Callithrix jacchus: one gene and its partners. The protein of the gene in region 1 interacts with the protein of each later gene in a pairwise test. Links are inferred from orthologs where the notes say so. Each region holds a gene or a part of one and is shown in the gene's direction. Other genes may lie near its edges.

The links.
Region 2: the proteins of EDA (region 1) and SEC22A interact in binary tests that used the Homo sapiens proteins (3 or more experiments, as listed by UniProt). The two-hybrid records come from large-scale screens. The link is inferred for Callithrix jacchus from reciprocal best matches to the Homo sapiens genes EDA and SEC22A.
Region 3: the proteins of EDA (region 1) and PLN interact in binary tests that used the Homo sapiens proteins (3 or more experiments, as listed by UniProt). The link is inferred for Callithrix jacchus from reciprocal best matches to the Homo sapiens genes EDA and PLN.

What each region holds. Positions count from the first base shown.
Region 1 is NC_133524.1:66,881,666-66,888,102, forward strand, and holds the start of EDA (ectodysplasin-A), read left to right. Parts: upstream 1-2,370; 5' UTR 2,371-2,557; coding exon 2,558-2,947; intron 2,948-6,437. UniProt on the Homo sapiens protein: Cytokine which is involved in epithelial-mesenchymal signaling during morphogenesis of ectodermal organs. Functions as a ligand activating the DEATH-domain containing receptors EDAR and EDA2R. May also play a role in cell adhesion.
Region 2 is NC_133516.1:79,848,050-79,854,313, reverse strand, and holds the start of SEC22A (vesicle-trafficking protein SEC22a), read left to right. Parts: upstream 1-2,726; 5' UTR 2,727-2,903; exon of another isoform or gene 2,904-3,153; intron 3,154-5,619; 5' UTR 5,620-5,625; coding exon 5,626-5,663; exon of another isoform or gene 5,664-5,716; intron 5,717-6,264. UniProt on the Homo sapiens protein: May be involved in vesicle transport between the ER and the Golgi complex.
Region 3 is NC_133505.1:124,873,572-124,879,885, forward strand, and holds the start of PLN (phospholamban), read left to right. Parts: upstream 1-2,776; 5' UTR 2,777-2,870; intron 2,871-6,314. UniProt on the Homo sapiens protein: Reversibly inhibits the activity of ATP2A2/SERCA2 in cardiac sarcoplasmic reticulum by decreasing the apparent affinity of the ATPase for Ca(2+).

The sequences.
Region 1 (6,437 bases):
GCTGGATATGGCCTGCAGGCTGTCATTGAGACCTGTGCTTTAGGGGATAGGATAGTTATGGAAGCATAGAAGCTAACTGAAGGAACACTTCAAAACACTTAAAAGATAACCACATACATTCCTCTCTGGATTGCCCCGTTCCCACATTTCTACTGCATATGATGACACATGTTCTTTCTCTGGGGAAAGAGAGGTCCCAGGTCAAATGCAACCCTCAGGGCTTCTGTGGGCAAGGGTGTAATCCAGAGTCTCAGTCAAGTTGTTAAAAGCCTGGCAGAACACGGTAAGGTGAGAGCAGTGTGGCCCTTGAGCATCACCACCACCAGGAGATGGCTGTCATTTGTTTCCTTTTCATTTTAGAGGAAGAAAGGGCAGCCACTTTAAACTGTGTATGCAAGAAAGTCAGCACAGCCAGTGACAACACAGATAAAACACAATGTAAAGGCTGTTAAAGTTCAAACTCCTCATTTTACTGCCGGAGAAATAGAGGCCCCGAAAAAGCACAGTGACTTGCTCAGAGTGACCCAGCAATCTAGTGGCAGAATGAAGTCTCCTGACTCCTGGTCTAGCATTCTTTCCAATAACCCCAGCCTGTGATAATTAAAATAAATCAGCCTGGCAGTTTTCCTAGCATCTAGAATTCCTGGACTGGACAAGCAGGACTTGAGAGCAGCTGTTAAACACCTTTTTTCCCCTTGGCTCTAGGATGATGATATTCTTTGTGAACTTTATATTTCATGGGTAGAGGTTAAGGAGAAGACAAAAAGATGTTTTTGAAGCACTGAGACCATTCAAAAGTGTATAGAGAAAAGTTGTCTGTGGCTAATATATTAAAGGCTTATGACCTCTGTGCTCTCTGGACTGATCTGCCAGCAGATGCTTTTGTTTTTGTGTTTTGTTTCTCTTCTTTCATCTTCTTTTCTATTTCTCTCTCTGTTTTTCTTCTCTTCCACCAGCCTAGGTCTTAGGCCTATATATAAGTGTTCCTGGGCATTGCTGAGCCTCCTTGATGACACTCCAGATGCCTGCTGCAAGTCAATAAAATTGTTAATTATTCATTACTCAATTAATAACATGAGAATGAGAGTGCATAGTGACTACAAAGCATATATGTTTCCCCTTCTACAGTCATTTTGCTTTTTATTATCTCAGACTAGTTACTCTTGTCAATTGTGACTCTTGATTTAACTAATCCTTTCCATCCTTCATTTCAGGGTCTATTGTTCTGCTCTTTGCCACTTTTTTTTCTCTGAACCCGTTTGTGATTGGTGCAGCTGTTGAAGATGCTGCAGTTACAGCAGTGTACATCTGGAACATTTGGCTGACTTGTTGAACTTCCCCCAGGGAGTACTCCAGGAGAAGGATGGGAGGGGTGGAGAGGCCGGAACAGTTGCCTGTAAATAAAGATGCCAATGGTGTCTGGCTATTCTATGGACCTCCCTTGTAAAAATCCACCTCATTCTGACCCTCAGTTTCCTATCTACTCGCTGAAGGTATATGTTCTCTAATCAAAACTACTGCAGTGGAAGAAATCTATTCTGGCTGTGGATGCTCTCATACAGCATTTTCTGCATTGTACAGGGATCAATAGATATTTGTTGAGTTAATTAATATATCAAGAAATCCTAGGACAGTTTTACCCTTCATGGGACAACATCATTTCAGTTCCACTTGGCATGAGTCAGCTTCTCTGTCACTTAGATTGAGCTTTCAGAGAAGTCACTCCAGGAGTGAGGCTGCTTGAGTCCCACCCATTCCCATAGTTCCCAGGCTCCTAGGTCTCCTTTTCTTCGGGCGAGCCATTGAATTGCAAACACAGCAGGCATGGTTTCATTCCAAACCAAGAGCTGTTTTAATTAGTTTAACGTCTGTTAAACGCTTTGAAGATTGGAAGCAACAGATAAGTACTGGATGATGTTATTAACAACTGCAGTTAATTGCAAACATTTCTATTAATGCTAGTTTCTGCCTCCTTTTCTTTGCTCTACTTTCTTTCCAAGGTTCCCAAATTCTTAGCCTCCCCCTCCTTTCCTCCCAGAACTGGCGCTAAAGGGTTAAACTGGGGCGGAGTCTAGGAATGAAGGACAGCGTCAGTCACCAACTAGGACAAGGCAAGGGGGAAGAGCTGGGTGGGGCGGCCAGGCCGAGGCGAACTCTCACGCCCCAAGGCTCCCCCCACCCCCCCCCCACCCCCCGAGGCTGGAGGCCCGGCTGGAACGGTACGGGGCGGGGCGCCGAGGCAGGGCGGCCCCTTGGTTGGACGTCCCGGCAGCCGCTTGAGGGATGGGGCGGTGTCGGCCGGGACCTCCTCCTTCATTCCCTCGGCGGGCCGAGCCTCCCCTCTCTCCCGCCCCTCCTCCTCCCTTTCCCACCCCTCGGAGTGGAGCTGCACATGCGGCTGCTCCCTGCTCCGTCCCGCCCAGCCACCGTCGCGCAGGAACGGGTCCCTGCAGCCCCCAGCCGATGGCAGGGCAGTAGCCGCCTGTCAGAGGTCGTGAACGGCTGAGGTAGACGCAGCGGCTCCCGGGCCTCAAAAAAGTGGGTGTCTCTGGAGGCCATGGGCTCCCCGGAGATGGAGCGCAGGGAACCCCTGCCCGCGACAGCGCCGCGGGAGCGGGAGAGCCAGAGCTGCGGCTGTCGCGGGGCCCCTGCTCGGGCGGGCGAAGGGAACAGCTGCCGGCTCTTCCTGGGTTTCTTTGGCCTCTCGCTGGCCCTCCACCTGCTGACGTTGTGCTGCTACCTAGAGTTGCGCTCGGAGTTGCGGCGGGAACGGGGAGCCCTATCCCGCCTTGGCGGCCCGGGCACCTCTGGCACCCTAAACAGCCCCGGTGGCCTCGACCCTGACAGCCCCATCACCCGTCACCTTGGGCAGCCGTCACCTCAGCAGCAGCCGCCTTTGGAACCGGGAGAAGCCGCACTCCCCTCTGACTCCCAGGACGGGCACCAGGTGAGTAACCTAGTAGGGGTGGCGACGGCCCCCTCCCCTCGCGGGTAGGGCGAGGGCCCTCCACCAAAGGGGCCTGGGAGCACTCTGCCACCTCGACCCAATTTAGAGGGCAGGACCAGCGAGGGGCCAGGCGAGCAGTGGAGAGGTTGCCCAAGGCAGGTTGTCTTCGGTCCCTGGCCCAGCTAATCCAGACTCCCTGAGGACCCCTTGAGTTGGAAAGCCTAGCGCGTGCCCGCCGCCCCTGGCTGCGGGCTGCCTCGGGAAAAGTTGGCGACGCTCCCGTCGAGGAGGTGCCTGTGCTGCCCCCCGGCCGACTAACGGCTTGGCTCTTCTGCTCCTGATGAGGTTCTCTGCCCGCGGTGCTTGTTTTTTCGTGTCCAGAGCTGATGCCAGAACCAGCAGGCTCCGCTTTGGAGTTAGAGCTGTAAACAGCTGTAGTAACTGCTCCACGCCTGCCCGTTGAAACAACTTTTAACCGCATTTTCATCGCGGGTCCTTGTGTGCTGACCAGAACGTGGACTTGTTCACACTTACCTGCAATTTGAGACTGATTGTCCTCGGCGTTCTGGTGAGGATCAGCGCCCCTGAGGAATTCTGGTAGAAATATGCCGTCTTGCTAGACAACTTCTGAACAGCAATTTAAAAAATCTATGGAAGTAAAACTCACCCTTTGCATGCTGGTTCTGATTCTAAGCAGGGTAGGTGTGCAGTGGGAAGGGTGGGTGGGAAGTGCTTTTACTGCTAGCTTGAGACCGGGAATCTGCAAATGGAATAATTACTCAGGACTAGTACCCCAAGAGCACTTTGGGGTTTTTTTGTTTTGTTTTGTTTATTTTTGCAATCTTTATGGTGTTTGTGCCCTTATTACCAAACTATTAACTTTGGTGTTTGTTTTCTACTCTTTCTAGCTCTTTATTCAAGTAAATTTAGTGCACTTAACGTAAATATTGTCTTGGTTGCCATATGTGAAACTTAGGAGAAGCATCTAATGATCCTTTTGAGGTGGCTAAAGAATAATAGTAAAATTGTACCTCTTAGGGAAGAGAGCAAGTTGTACAAATAAGTTCCTTGAGGTGAGGGACCCAAGCCTTCTGTATTTACTGCCACATCCAGAGTCATTGTCACAACTCTGTAAACATTATTTCTACCACTTTGACCTCCCATCTAAAGTAGTACACTTGATAAAGGCATCACATTCAGGATAATAGTGTAATGTTAGGACTGATTCTTAAAACAAACAAACAAACAAAAAACCAACTATGTGCATTGTAAAGTTGCCCTGAGCCTTAAAATGTCTTGCTAGCACACTTCAATTTATATAACAGCTTATCGAAGAAGAGAATCAGCAGACATGCTTCTCATACTTGAAACTTTAAACACTGTAACTAAACGATAATTAACTAGGATTCTGACTCCTTTATTTATCTACTGCCACTCCCCTACACCCCAATGCCCAGTAGAAATATTTAGCAGCTGAACATTGATATTCTGTGAAAAGATGAAAGAATTAAACTTCTTCAGTCAAATGGTGGCCAAGACTTTTTGGCATTCCCAATGGACAGAGCCATGTTTACAGACTGAGGATTAGCAGAACAGCTGTACTCTAGGGCTTCTGTAATGGCATAAAACTCTTCCAGGTCTGTAATGGCATTTAGTTACCTGCCCTTTGTATGGCACTAAAATAGTTCTGTCTAGGTTTAAACACAGCTTCCTATCTTCTGTCCTTTATTCTTTCTGTTTTAATATTTTTGAGCAATAGAAGCAAGGATACTAGCTCTTTACATTTGTTGACATCAATTGGAATCCGTTTCCTAGAGTTATTAAGGGCTTATACGAGTTCATTTCATTTGATTCCCTTGGGAAACATAGGCCCTAAAGGGAAAGTGACTTGCCCAAGGTCACATAACTAGAGTCAAAACTGGGATGAAAGTTACTCTCTTAATTCCCATTTCAGTGCCCATTCCCCCAACTACCTCCTGGGACCTTTTTTGAGGGAGCAAGATGGAGCTCCATATTAGAACTTTTACAAAGTAGAGGGCTCAGATCTGCATCATTTTGTTCTACTCTACCTGTATTTTGACCATACTAAGTTTAACCATGTATTCCTTATTCTTCCTGAACTTCACTTTCAGATTTGGAGTATACTTTGAAGGAATTTTAGCCCAAATTCAACTTAAGTTTATTTTAAATTATTCAACTGAAGTTTATCTTATCTTGTATATTAGTTTTAGTATACAAAAATAAGTTTTTAAAAACAGTTGATTGGGTATTAAATTAATACTGCTACAAGCTTGGGTAAAATTTCTAGTGCCCTGGTGCACCCTCTGCTGGCTTTATAGGGCCATTTAATTGTGTCTGTTGACACTCAGAATTCTACATTGTGCTGACAGATTCTGATTCGGTAAATAAGGAAGTAAACAGCCTTGTGGGATTTGGGCACGTAGGCCATATTTCTATATTTTAGTTTTTCAACACAAACAACTGCTGTTATAGCAAGTCTTGGATGGAGAGGAAGAAAGATAAAAATATACACCCTTCAACAGGCAGTATATTCAGGTTTCTTACCAGTTTATCTGCAAGGAGTGAAGGCAACCTGATGAGAATAAGCTGCAGGAAGTTCTCATGAGACCAAGTGGGCAGAACAGTCAGAGACACTTCATGCAGGTAGGCAAAAGTAAACCTATCTATGTTTATGAGATGATGGGCTCTAGGCTCTCAGTTATGACTCAAGAAAGGGATCTAGAAATCACTGTAGATGTATGTATATCATCTCTCAATTTAAAAACTTTTTAAGCAGGGCACACAAGGAAGTTAGGGCAGGTGGGATACAGAGCATAGAGATCAGCACAGTTCTCCATGTGAAATGTTACTAAAGTCTCCCCCATGGGGACACACTTGCTGATGATAAAGTGAGAGAGTCATATCATACCTTCTGTAATTAACCATCTACTTCAGTGGGAGCAACTAAGTAGCTGCAGATTTATCTGGATAGTTGGTGGAGATTATCTCAAGAGTAAGGGACATCTCATTTGTATCTGAATTAGGACAATGTAGAGTAATATGATTGCCAGAGTAAAAAAAAATAAAAATCACTGTTGATCATTTGTGGAGATGTTGTTCCAGTTGTGATTGTGGTCCTAAAAGGCCAAGAACATAGTGGATATCATCAGGAAGGATCTCAAAAACAACAAAACAAGACACTTATTTTTTTCTACATACAAGATCAAAAGCAGGTTAACTTCTACAATCGGACAGGAAATTCTGGTGGTTGCTTCTCAAGAAAAGCCTAACAGCTGATAAAAGTCCCCAGAAACCCCATTAAATTGATCAAAAGAATGGAGGGATTTTCGAGTTGGTTTTTCATTCTGGATAGAAAGACTTTGAAGGAGGAATATGATCAAAGTCTACCAAACCATGAGCAAGATAAGTATGGTTAATATATTGGTATAACTTAATAATCCAGTTCAATAAATAGAAAGCCTGCTGTGCC
Region 2 (6,264 bases), on another chromosome or scaffold:
AAAAGATCTCTCAGCAAAGCAATTCTTTTTTACTTCCTGCAGAAAGGGTACTCCCACTAGCAATCCTGCCATGAGAGTACAATGAACAAAGGAAAGCAGACATATTTATTTCTTAAGCATTTGGGGTTGTCCTTACTGCTGTTCTCATCTCTGCTGGGTGGAGCCAGACCTCACAATCTAAACTAAAACCCGACTGGCTAATAACGTGAAACTTTTCTAAACAGGTAAAAGCAATGGAGAACAATAAATAAATAAATAAATAAATAAATAAATAAAAAGGGAGTCTAAATAATGAAGGGGCATAGCTGCAAGCTGGGAAATGCCTGTGAGCAGGTCCTTTGTTAAAGTACAAGGACATAGAATGCACTACATGCCTGTAAGCATGTCTACCAACTACATAGTATAGGGCTTCTAGCAAAAAGGCAAGAAGGCTTTCAAAGAAAGTGTTTAAAACAAACTGTTATTTCTTTCTTTTTTTTTTTTTTTTGAGACGAAGTTTCGCTCTTGTTACCCAGGCTGGAGTGCAATGGTGCGATCTTGGCTCACTGCAACCTCTGCCTCCTGGGTTCAGGCAATTCTCCTGCCTCAGCCTCCCGAGTAGCTGGGATTACAGGCGTGCGCCACCATGCCCAGCTAATTTTTTGTATTTTTAGTAGAGACAGGGTTTCACCATGTTCACCAGGATGTTCTCGATCTCTTGACCTCGTGATCCACCCGCCTCGGCCTCCCAAAGTGCTGGGATTACAGGCGTGAGCCACTGTGCCTGGCCCCAAACTGTTATTTCTAACATTTATGAAATTTTCTTAAACAAGAAAGGAAACTTTGAAGAGGAACTTTTCTACCTCCCACAGTGTATAGTATTATAGTATCCTATTAGTGAATATTCCTTTTTTTTTTTTTTTTTTTGAGATGGAGTCTCACTCTACTGCCTAGGCTGGAGTGCAGTGGCATGATCTTGGCTCACTGCAACTTCTTCCTCCCAGGTTTAAGCAATTGTCCTACCTCACCCTGCCAAGTAGCTGGGATTACAGATGCCCACCACCATGCCTGGCTAATTTTTTTATATTGTAGTAGAAATGGGGTTTTACTATGTTGGCCAGGCTGGTCTTCATCTCCCGACCTCAAGTGATCCGCCCACCTCAGCCTCCCAAAGTGCTGGGATTACAGGCATGAGCCATCGCGCCCAGTGAGGATATTCTAAAATTTATTCATTTCATGAACATTCTTATACATATGTTTTCTGGTGAATATATGAATACATTTCTGTTGAGTAGGACCAAATTTATGTTAGTTCAGGCCTTTCTTCTGAACTCTAGGTTTACATCCAAATCTACTTGACATGTCCATTTATAAGCATTTCAAATTTAACATTCCAAACCATTTGCTCCTCCTTTTGTGTTCCATGAATCAGTAAATGACTTCTCAATCCATCTAGTTACTTAAGGAGTCATCCTTAATATTCCTCTTTTTTGACCTTTCTGGCAAACCAATCTATTAGTAAGTCCCTTGGATACCATCTTTGGTTTATATATATCTTGAAATTATCCACCTCTGTCTTTAACTCCCATTACACTAGTTCAAGCCACCATTTCTGGCTTTGTCTGATGCAACTGCTTCCAACTGGCCTCCCAGCAGCCCTTCTTGCCCTCTTCCAATCTATTCCCCACAAACAGCTTGAGTGATTCTTAAATATGCAAATAAGAATCTACTTAATAATAGTCTTTATGAGCTGCCCATTGACCTTTGGCTGAGATGAGACAAGGGCCAGACCACGCTGGCTCTTATTGGCCACATTACAGATTTCAGGCTGTATTTTGGAAGATATCTTAAAGTCAATGCGCAAAGTTTCTCCTTGTTCCCTACACTCCATCCACATTGACTTCCTTTTAGTTCCTAGAGCACACGAAGTTATGTCATGTCCTAACAACCTCACACATCATATTTCCTTGACCGGGAACACTCTCTAAGGCTCTTTAATATGTCTGCAGCTTAAAAGGCACTTATTCGGAGGGCTCTTCCCTGACAGTCCAAAATTAATTCATCATTGCACCCACTAATTTTCCCTCCCAGTACTGATCACAATTTATAATTCTGTAACTATTTGTGCTTTAATGTCTCTTGCTCCTATTACGTCTTAAATTCCATCAAGTGTTACGTCCACTCCTGTAACCCCGTGCTTAACACGGTGCTTGGCACATGGTAAACAGTCAGTAAATGCCTATTTAATAATGTACGACCGATGCAAAGGCCGGAAGGGGTCGCAGGGTCTGCATCCGGCACTTCTCTGCTACGGTTAGTTTCCTTCATGTGTGCGGGAATAGAAGGGGCTAGCTCCTCTCCTTGCTCACCCAGAGGGGGCTTTTCTCCCTGTCCCTTTGATAATGTTTGCTGTAGGGCAGCTTGTGAGAGACAAATGCCTGCAGATACAGGGCGGCGAGCGGGGGAGACTGACCCTATTTCTGAAGTCAGGGCAGTTGTGTCAACAGAGGACGGGGTACTTTTCTGGCGCAGGTGCGAGAGAGGCTGCCAATCCCTCCTGCATGGGGTGGGACTAAGGCGGGTCCCGGGAGTGGGCGGGTTGTTGTGGCCTTCCCGCAGAACCCGATTGGCCTGGGCGAGCCGAGGGAACGGGGGCGTGGTTAGATTCCGCGTGTGCGAGCCCCGTTGGACGCACCGCAGCCTCGCCGAAAGGCTCCTCCCAGGCCCCACAATGCATTGCGGGGCGCGTCACTCGGAGCGGCGGGTCCCAGCTCGACAGGTACTTCCCTGCCCCTCCCAGTCCTCTTCCCTTCTTAGGGGTCGTTCGAACGCCTGCCGGCCGCTCCCCTTCCTCTCCCGGTCTCCCGCCACAGCCTCGGCCTCCGCCCTCGGGACTGAAGACCTACCCGACGGGCAGGAGCCAAGTCTGTGCCTTTGGGGTGGGAGCTGGGGCCGCGGAGCTCTGGAGGGGCGGGCAAGCGGGGACCCCGTCCCCTTCGACTTGAGGGGTCTGTTGGGCCACGCGGGTGGCAGTTGCGCTTTGTCTGTGCTGCCTCAGGTATTGGGCAGCCAGGGGAGGAATATCTGAGGGGGAGGAACAGTCGCCCTTGGCTGTCAGCGTAGTGGTGGGGATTCCCTGGCCCCCAGATGTCGGAAACACGGTGATCTACCTGTGTAAGTGGCCCGCGAGAGCTTGAGGTGGCGTTTCTTACTTCTTTTAGGCAGAATGGGACTTGAACCAGTGTCTTAGTTTACGTCTTGTGGGGATGGAGTGAGCATTGAGCCCAGATATTTGCCCACGTTGGCTCACAGAAACTTCTTGAGACCCTGTCTCAAGAGTCACTTTGGAAACGATATGGCGGAAGGGAGACCTGAGTAATTGGCTCCACAAGTGGAGGAGGTCTCCGAAAGAACAGGACAAGTCCCAGCTGGCTTGAATCTCTCTGCCAGTGAATACAGCTGAAGATAATTTTTCTCCTGTTGCTTAGTTTCCTGGATTATCCACCTGGGGCAGGTGGCGAGCTTGAGAACCAGTCCCTCCTATGCCTATTCAGCCAAGGCAAAGCCTAGCCCAGAGCAAAAGTGTCAGCCACCAGACTGGAGATGTTGGATCTCCAATCGGGGGAACAGCCACTTTTAAAACTCCAATTCACTTTCCATGTTATTTATATTTGGTTACATGCTAAGATTGTAAGGGATCAGGCAATGCCTTAAGTGGTACCTACAATTTCTGGTATATTAAAGTTCATTATTTGACGTTAACACCTGTGACCGTATCCTAAATTAATAGGGACATTCAGGTATTTCCTATGTTGAAAACATCACATCTGTTTGGTGCTTTTAATTTATTTTTTGTGTGCAACTGATTAAAATAGAAGTATATCTTATGTTGGTGTATGAAAGAGGCCCAGGCACTATCACAGGGGTGCCTGTGACCTTCCTTTACATGTTTTTGAGTAAGAAATTTGCATATGTTGATAGTGTCTCACAGTGTTAGAGTTGGGCCTGAGTTAAATCCCTACTTTGTCACTTTTTAGTTTAGGGATTAAACAAATTCCTTAAGCTTTTTGGGCTTGAGTTTCCTCAAAGGTAAAACGGAACTAATAATACCTACCTCACAGGTTGTTGGAAGGCTTAAATGAGGTAATTTGTATGAAGTGTGTGGTCCATAGAGAGTAATCAGTAAATAATATAGCAAATACTTAATATAGTGCTTTTAGTATATTACAAGGCAGTGTTTCAGGTGCTTTACATGATCCTATGAGATAGATAATATTATTTTTAAAACAAGCCTATGAAATAGATACCATTAGTAGCCACAATATGTAGGTGTGAAAATTGAGATATGTCAAAGTTTGCCCAAATTTGCATGGCTGGTGCATTGTGGAGCCAGAATTAGGACCCAGGAAGCCTGGCTCCAGATTCTGTCCTCTTTATAACTACCAAACTGTACTGCCTCTTAAAGAAATTATAACCTGCTATTTTATTATTTTAAAATGAATAGCTAGTTTCTGTATCACTGGTTTCTTGCCTCTTGTTGGTTTTTGGAGACTGATGAAGCATTGTGGTATAGAGATATTAGAAATTTAGATTGAAGAACCAGTTCTGCTATATACTAGCAGTGTGACATTGAGAAAGTGAGCCTCCATTTCCTCATCTGTAAAATGGAGGTTCTACCTATCCAAATGTGGACTATGTGGCACTATGCAAATGTTGGGATTGACACCTTTGAGCATATACTGTTGGCCCTGTCCTAGATGTGAGTAAAATCTATTGTGAAGCCTGAGGTCTTATACATACTGTGCAGTGCAAGCGCCCATAATAGGAGTGTCAAAAACTACTAGTGAGGTAAAGCGCACAGGCAGAATGGTAGAAATTTCTTCCCCTTTATCACTCAATCTACCCCGCACCCTCCCTGTGCATCACAGTTAGTATAGCTTTCTGTCCAGATTAACTGCCACTGCCCCCCCAACATTCCCACAGATCTCTGCTACCACTTTTAATAAAATAACATGTACCTTATTGGTAGTGTTTCTCAAACTTTGGTACTGTCACATATGCAAGATAATTTGATTAGCAGATGAACATTTAAAAAATTCTCCCAAAATGTTCACACACATACTTGAATGAAACAAGTACATTTAATCATAAAAACCTGACACCTCAAAACTGATTTCAGATATTATTGCTAAAAAATAGAGGACAAGAAAAGTAAGTCAGTTCAAAGACCAATATTAGGTAAATAGTACAGGTGGATGAAGATAATTATGAAAGTGGCATTTAGATGACTGAAGACTGGGAAATTATGAACTAAAATAAATGAGTGCTTTTACCCCCAGTATAGAATGTTTTTATCTTAAAAATGGCATTTGTGAAAGCATTTGGCTAGAACATATATACAAAATCTACTTATATGTTGGGCTTTATTACCTTTTGAGAGATACCTTCCTGAGACATTGAACCTGTTGTCATTACCCACACAAGGTCCTGAAGAAGAGAGATGTCTTGTTATCTTAGGTCTAAGAACTTGCTAACACTACTATAGTAGTTTGGCATTATGGGAATTTATTTTCCTCAGCCTTTACATAAAGGTTTACCCAGATTTACCTAGATTCTAACTTGTGCTTTTTCCTTCAACAGTTGCTGATGGCGAGAGGAAACAAGAGCCACTATTCAGATTCCCTGTGAGTTAACTGCTGCTGTCTAAAGCGGGTATAATATTTTCTCTGTATTAAAGGTGAGGAAAAATGGACCAGTGCTATAAACATTTATCTATGGCCCTTTTAAGCTAAAAAGTCCTAAATCTGGCCGGGCGCGGTGGCTCAAGCCTGTAATCCCAGCACTTTGGGAGGCCGAGGCGGGTGGATCACGAGGTCAACAGATCGAGACCATCTTGGTCAACATGGTGAAACCCCGTCTCTACTAAAATTACAAAAGATTAGCTGGGCACGGTGGTGCGTGCCTGTAATCCCAGCTGCTCGGGAGGCTGAGGCAGGAGAATTGCCTGAACCCAGGAGGCGGAGATTGCGGTGAGCCGAGATCGCGCCATTGCACTCCAGCCTGGGTAACAAGAGCGAAACTCCGTCTCAAAAAAAAAAAAAAAAAGTCCTAAATCTTCCCATGCAATTGTTGTAACCTCTTGCTTTCCACAGTTCCACTGGTTCTTCCTTGGGATTTTGCCAACCACAACCCTTCTTAGACCTTAAAGATACTCTAACCTAGCTTGGGCTTGATATGGACAGATTCTCTTTTCTGCTATCACAGTGCAGATAAGATTAGTTTAAA
Region 3 (6,314 bases), on another chromosome or scaffold:
AGCTACTCAGGTGGCTGAGGCAGAAGAATCTCTTGAACACAGGAGGCGGAGGTTGCAGTGAACCGAGATTGCACTACTGACTCCAGCCTGGGTGACCCAGTGAGACTGTCTCAAACAAAAAAAACCTAATGATTTTGAAAAATATATTTAAAATGCCACAAAACTATATAAAAACAAAAGTAAAGAAATGAACCCAGGATTCAATTTAAACTGAAAAAATACTAAGTTTCATTTAGAGCATACTAAAAATGAATTTGTAATTATTTTCCCATCCAAGTTCAAAGACAGTTTACCTTTAAGAATCCATCTTCTAAAGGAAAAAAGAAAATAAGTACTAACACTAATAGGACACTGTTGCAGGATCTCTGATAATCACTGTGTACACTTTGTGTCATTAAGCTATCACAAGTACTATTCTGCAAGTTTGGCAGCTTAGGGAGGTTATTTGTATAAAGTCACGTGACCAAAAATACATTCAAACTACGTGTAACTCCAAATGAAGACTGTGACAAAGCATCTCAAAAAAATTTTCCAGGCTCTAGTTGAGGAATTGCTGAGGAACATTCTATTGATGACACTGTAACCGACTAACGCTCCTTTAAACAACTTTGTTTGGGCAATAAAAAGTGTTTAGTTAAAACTAAAATACGATACTTCCTAGAGTTGTATGTGGGATCATCACCATTATCGTCATCATCACTAGCTAATCCCAAGGAAAAAGGTAAACACAAAATCTCCCCAATCTTGTACAAAACTAAAAGGTAAAATTTTGAATCCATTTTCCAACTACGTCACACACAGTTATAAGTATCCTTCTAAGGTGTGTATATGCCTATGTATGCTTTTTAAGTAAACTTGTAAACATATGTGGTAACTAGGGTATATTTTATTCAGTCTATGGCAGCTTCTTAGTTTACCCAATTGAGTATTACTAGTTCAATTTTCTTAGAATAAGAAGTTCTCAGAACAATGATCTATCACCTAAATTTCAGTTCAATGTGTAACTGTTAGACAAACTTAAAGCAGACTTTCTAAAACGATTAACGGTGCTCAATAATTCACCTATTCACATGTTTAAAATTTCTTAGTTAGTATATGCTACTCTAATGAAAGCTATATTCAAGTTATAATTTTTTCCCACAGTATGCTAACAGATCAGAAATTATAATTTAATCTGGATTTTAATCCTCAGTCTCTTCTTTAGCAGCTGGTTATCTCTGACAAATTACTGTACACCTCTTTAGGCTTCTAGGTTTTATATGATCAATCATCATTGGTAACTGATAGTAATGAGAGTCAATTATTATTCATGCAATTTCCTTAACGAGTTTAAGTTGTAAATTTTCCCTTGGCAATGTTCACAGAAGATCATTGCTAAAATATTATTTTTCAGTTAGTTTTAAGCTGATTCTTTAAATAACAAACAATTTGCTCTGGAGAAAGATTTTCTTTCTCGTTGGAAGAAGCCAAGATCATCTCCATTTAAGGACAAAGCTGCTGCTACACATTTTAGTTAGCCATAAGAAAGTGAAGTGGGCTAAGTTCACTCTCTCATAAGCATTTAAAAAAATAAAAATTACATGTATCTCCTCTAAAATTAAAGAAGAGATCTGAGAATCAGTATTTTCAAATGTGGTGACTTAAATAAATCTAACATGTAAGACAACAAATTAGATGAACAGAGAAGAGGAGAATGATGTCCAGCTTTACAAAAAAAAATTATTTACCCAGTTATACTGTAAAATAAACTGCTTTGGGAAGTTCAAAATATCATTCCACTAACATCTCATTTGTATAGTAATTTTCAGAAAAGCAACCACTAGATTAAATGAGGCATAACCTTTTAGAAACATTACAAAACTTAATTTCAACACATGAAAACCTATAAAGCCTCATTAACTGAGATGTAACTGATTGGGAATCTGCAATTATTTCTTTTTTACTATAAAGTTGCCCTTAATACTGCTTATAAAAAAAATTAGTAAGTTTGTGTAATAATTTAAAGCAATTCTTAAAGAACCATATTGCTATTTTTGGGGGATTATATGTATCAGTTTAAATACGAAAATTAGCATTCACAAATATATTGTTAAACTGCTAACTGAAGAAAACCCAAATGAATTAAATATATTTATTAGTTCTTACTTTAGCTGTAAGATAAAAATAATTTTTTTAAACAAAAAGCAGTTATTAGCCTGATTTTCTCATACACACAGCTTCTCCCATATATACAGAACAAGTACAAAATAAGAAGAAAACAGGTATAAAATTTGATTATGTAAAAATACTTCATTTTTGTCTTGCTAAAAGCTAACATTATGAAGAATTGGTATTAAAGCAACAGCAGCAAGAATTCAATGAAAGTTGTTTTGCTTATACCTGTGTTTATTTTTCTCATAATTAAAATTCCTGCAGTAACTTATTTCTTCAATATGTTCACCATTTATATTCAATTATCTCTAAGCCTGAAGATAATTGAATATAAATGTCTTATTATCTCTAAGCCTGAAGATGCATGAATCTGTAACAAAAGCTTTCTACCACCTCAAATTTACCTTTTCTTCCATTTACCTGCCATATACTGTTTTAAATTAAAAACAAAAGATGAAGCACAAAGTGTTAATGACTTTTCCATACCTAAATTAAGAAGTTCTAAAGTTTGGTTGTGATAAGACCAAGACTATGGCTAACCAATCGAAACTTGAGAATTTCTATGTGACATCATAAGACCTCCCTAGCACACTTTTTCTCCTCCACCTACTGCAACTGTTCCCATAAACCTGGTGACAGAGTCAGAAAACTCCTCAGCTAAACATCCATAGACTTTATATGACCCAATACTTTATATTGTGATGATCACACCAGCCAAGGTAAGAAACAGATTTCACTGACTTTGGTAATTCTTCTTTCTGTAATTCTTAATTCCTATGATTTCTATAATCTGAACTATTAAAATGAGTTAATTATATTTTATAAATTTCAGTTCAAAGTTAAATAACAAAATGACATGGCAAAGTACTTAAATTTATAAATTGCTTAACCATTTAGTGACAGTAAAAAAAAATGAGACAACTTTAAAATGAAAAGGGTTGTATTCATCTTTGATCCTGGTTATTGGTTTGTCATTTTAATTTAACTTTCACTTTTATTTTGCTTTTCAAATGTGAATTTCTGCCAATTTAAAAAAACCTTCGAATTATGTTACCATATTTGGTAGTAGCAATGGTTAATTTCTCCATGCAAAAACAATGACTTAATTTTGTTATCAAATGCTCTGCTGAGAAACAGTGCAGGACTGAACTGTCTACTTACATGTGAACTAATATTGCCTATTCCAATATTATCATTATAATATCATACAGTGAATAATAATAAAATGGAGTTTAAGAATATTTAATGCAAGATACTTTTAAAGTGCGCTTAGGGATTTTTCTCCTGTAAAGTCCAGTCAACTTTCAACAAACACTTCTAAAAATTCCATGACGTTAATAAATTCAGTTACTGATATTAAATCCAATATTGTATCATAAAGAAGTTTAGAAATTTTAAAATACTTTCACAAACACATAAAAAGTCTAATGTTAGAGAATAATTTGACACTTTAAAAATAAAGTTATTTTGACACACAAATATGCTTAAGTATCTATTTTTCATACAAATTTGATAAAATACCTATACTTTTATCAAGTTATTATCCTCCAGTGTTATTCCATTTCCTTTCTTGGATTTAGAAGGAAAAGAGAAAATAAAATAAATGCCAGGAACGGAGATGCCACAATCAATTTTATGACGTCTGTTTGAATTCTACCTATTCTTTATGTTACAATTCTCAATTTAGTAAATAAATGTTTCCTCATTCTTATATCTCTGTCAGGGCACACAGAAAAATATATCTATTTTATTGATTTTATTTTTTATATTTTATATATATGTTAAAATAAAATTTACCTCTAAAATTCTCAATTCCTGTGACAAACATTAATTCTATTACTCACTATAAATAAGACCTTTGTAATTCTGTAAGCAGCTTTCCTTAAGATATACAAAAACCTAATTTTTGTCTACCACTGAGGTATCCTAATTGCTTCTCCGTATCTCTATACTCATATTTTTCCTTTAATATTACATAAAAGTCATTCAGTGTAGGTGTCTGATATGTTTATCTGTGCATTTTTATTCAAATATCTATCAAATTATATTCTCACATTTCAAACTGGGTATTCATGAGTTCTTTTATTGTATCAGAATTTTGCTGTATCACATATTGCTCTAAAAAGTACACAACTTCTGGATAGAGCAGAAAGTCTACTATTAAAGTTACCCTTAGCTCACCAGTATGTCTCAGTTAATAGAAATTACATAGTTATAGAGACTGCTAATATTTCAAATATAATGTGATAGTACCATACCATATGCCCAACTAGTTCATCTATGCCTTAAAGTGACAGTTAAGTACTGCCTCTGTTTATGAAGACATGGTTTAATAGTAAGTGCTAATAAAAACTGTTAGATGAAATCAAATGGAAGAAATATGAAAGACGTTTAAATTAAACGGCATTGATTAGGTTTTAAAAACACGTGAAAGAGCCAGAGTACTTGCTTTACTAAGAGGTGTCACAGCACTAACAATTCCTAAAACTCAAATATCAAATCTATTTTATTTGTATTTTAGTAGGCATAAAGGAAAATAATCACATTTGGGTTATATAATCATACGCATTGTTTCTTAATCTCACTAGAGATAGGAAAATATTTTCAGAAAAGAAAATGCTAATGTATATGTTAATGTATTATATAATGTACTGATTACATGTATAGCATTAAATTATGTAATATATTTAATTTTTAATTTAAAAGTTACATTTACAGTCTCTAAATTAGACAATATATTTATTACCAATCCCAGAAATGAGAAGAGCCTATTAAAACATCTTTCTTTATTCTTAAAAAACAATTTCCTAAATATACTACTAGTATACACAAATGTTTCATTTGGTCCTCTTAATTATATATTTAATACCACATCACTATTCCACAATTTAGGAAAGATGCAAAAATGTGAACTGCGCAAGATCACAGAACTAAGAAAACAGAGAAACCTTGGCAGAAGGTTAGGTTTCGTGATTAAGCCACATTCACATCCTCTATACAATGATCAACATGGTTTAAAGTACATCATGACACTGACAAACCAAACTAAATTGAAAGTCCTCAAATACTGTAAAAGATACTCTAAAAGGCAAATTCAGAGAATACAAACTTCTAATTTAATACCATGCCATTTTACTTAAATTCAATTTAGGCATCAGACATGACATTCTTAATACCCTAAATTATATTCTACTGATGATTTTCAAAACCAGAAAATACACAAAAATTACAGATGTCCTTAGTTATTAAGCAATACAGCCTGGAAGGCAAAATTGAAACTAACCGCACAAACTTTAAAAAACAGTAACACACCTCAATCCATCAAAATTTCCTTTTATTTGTTTCATTGCTAAAATACGTATGGCCTTCAACCCATTTGATACCTAAAATCCAAGTTAATATCTCATTAAAACTTTCACTACATAAACCACATTTCAATACTTTATTCCAGGATCCATCCCTCTTAAATCCTCAGCTCTCAGCATTCTTCAGGTTTATTTCTGAAGCCCCCCTCATACTCTAGCATTTTTAATATGCAACACTATTTGACATGTTTGATCAGAGAAATCTTGCTATCTATGCTACAAAAATCCCTCACTTTCATCAAAACAGTGAATTTACACAGAAATGATACTAGCAAAGTAAACCTAAGTAATCAAGAAAGTAATCCTCCTCAAATACAGTGGCATAAATCAGGTAAGATGTGGTCTCTTTGTATATTTTCAGAAATAGCACATCAAAGTTCTCACCCTGAATAATTCTGAACGATGTGTTACCAAATAAACACATGAAAAGGAAGCCTGGATGTACCACATAGTCATAGTTATCTGAGGACCTCTAGTGCCTTTTAAAAGGTACTCCATCTTTAGGGTTTTCAACCCCAAGTTCCCTGCCCCCCAGCAAAAAAAGGTTGACCAATTCACTCCCATTAATAGGGGGTTTATTTATTAAGTGGCATTCATTTTTCCTTAAGATGTTCTCAATAATACCCCCCCCCCCACAATCTCCTCCCCTCAAAAAGACCCTGAAGTCCCAACTCCCAACATGATTAAAAAGAGTACTTTACTTGTAAATAAACTTGTAAAGCATTGTTTCAATATTTAAGAAACAATAATGAGGAAAAACCTACAGATACTATAGCAATAGCAATAAGCTACATTGTC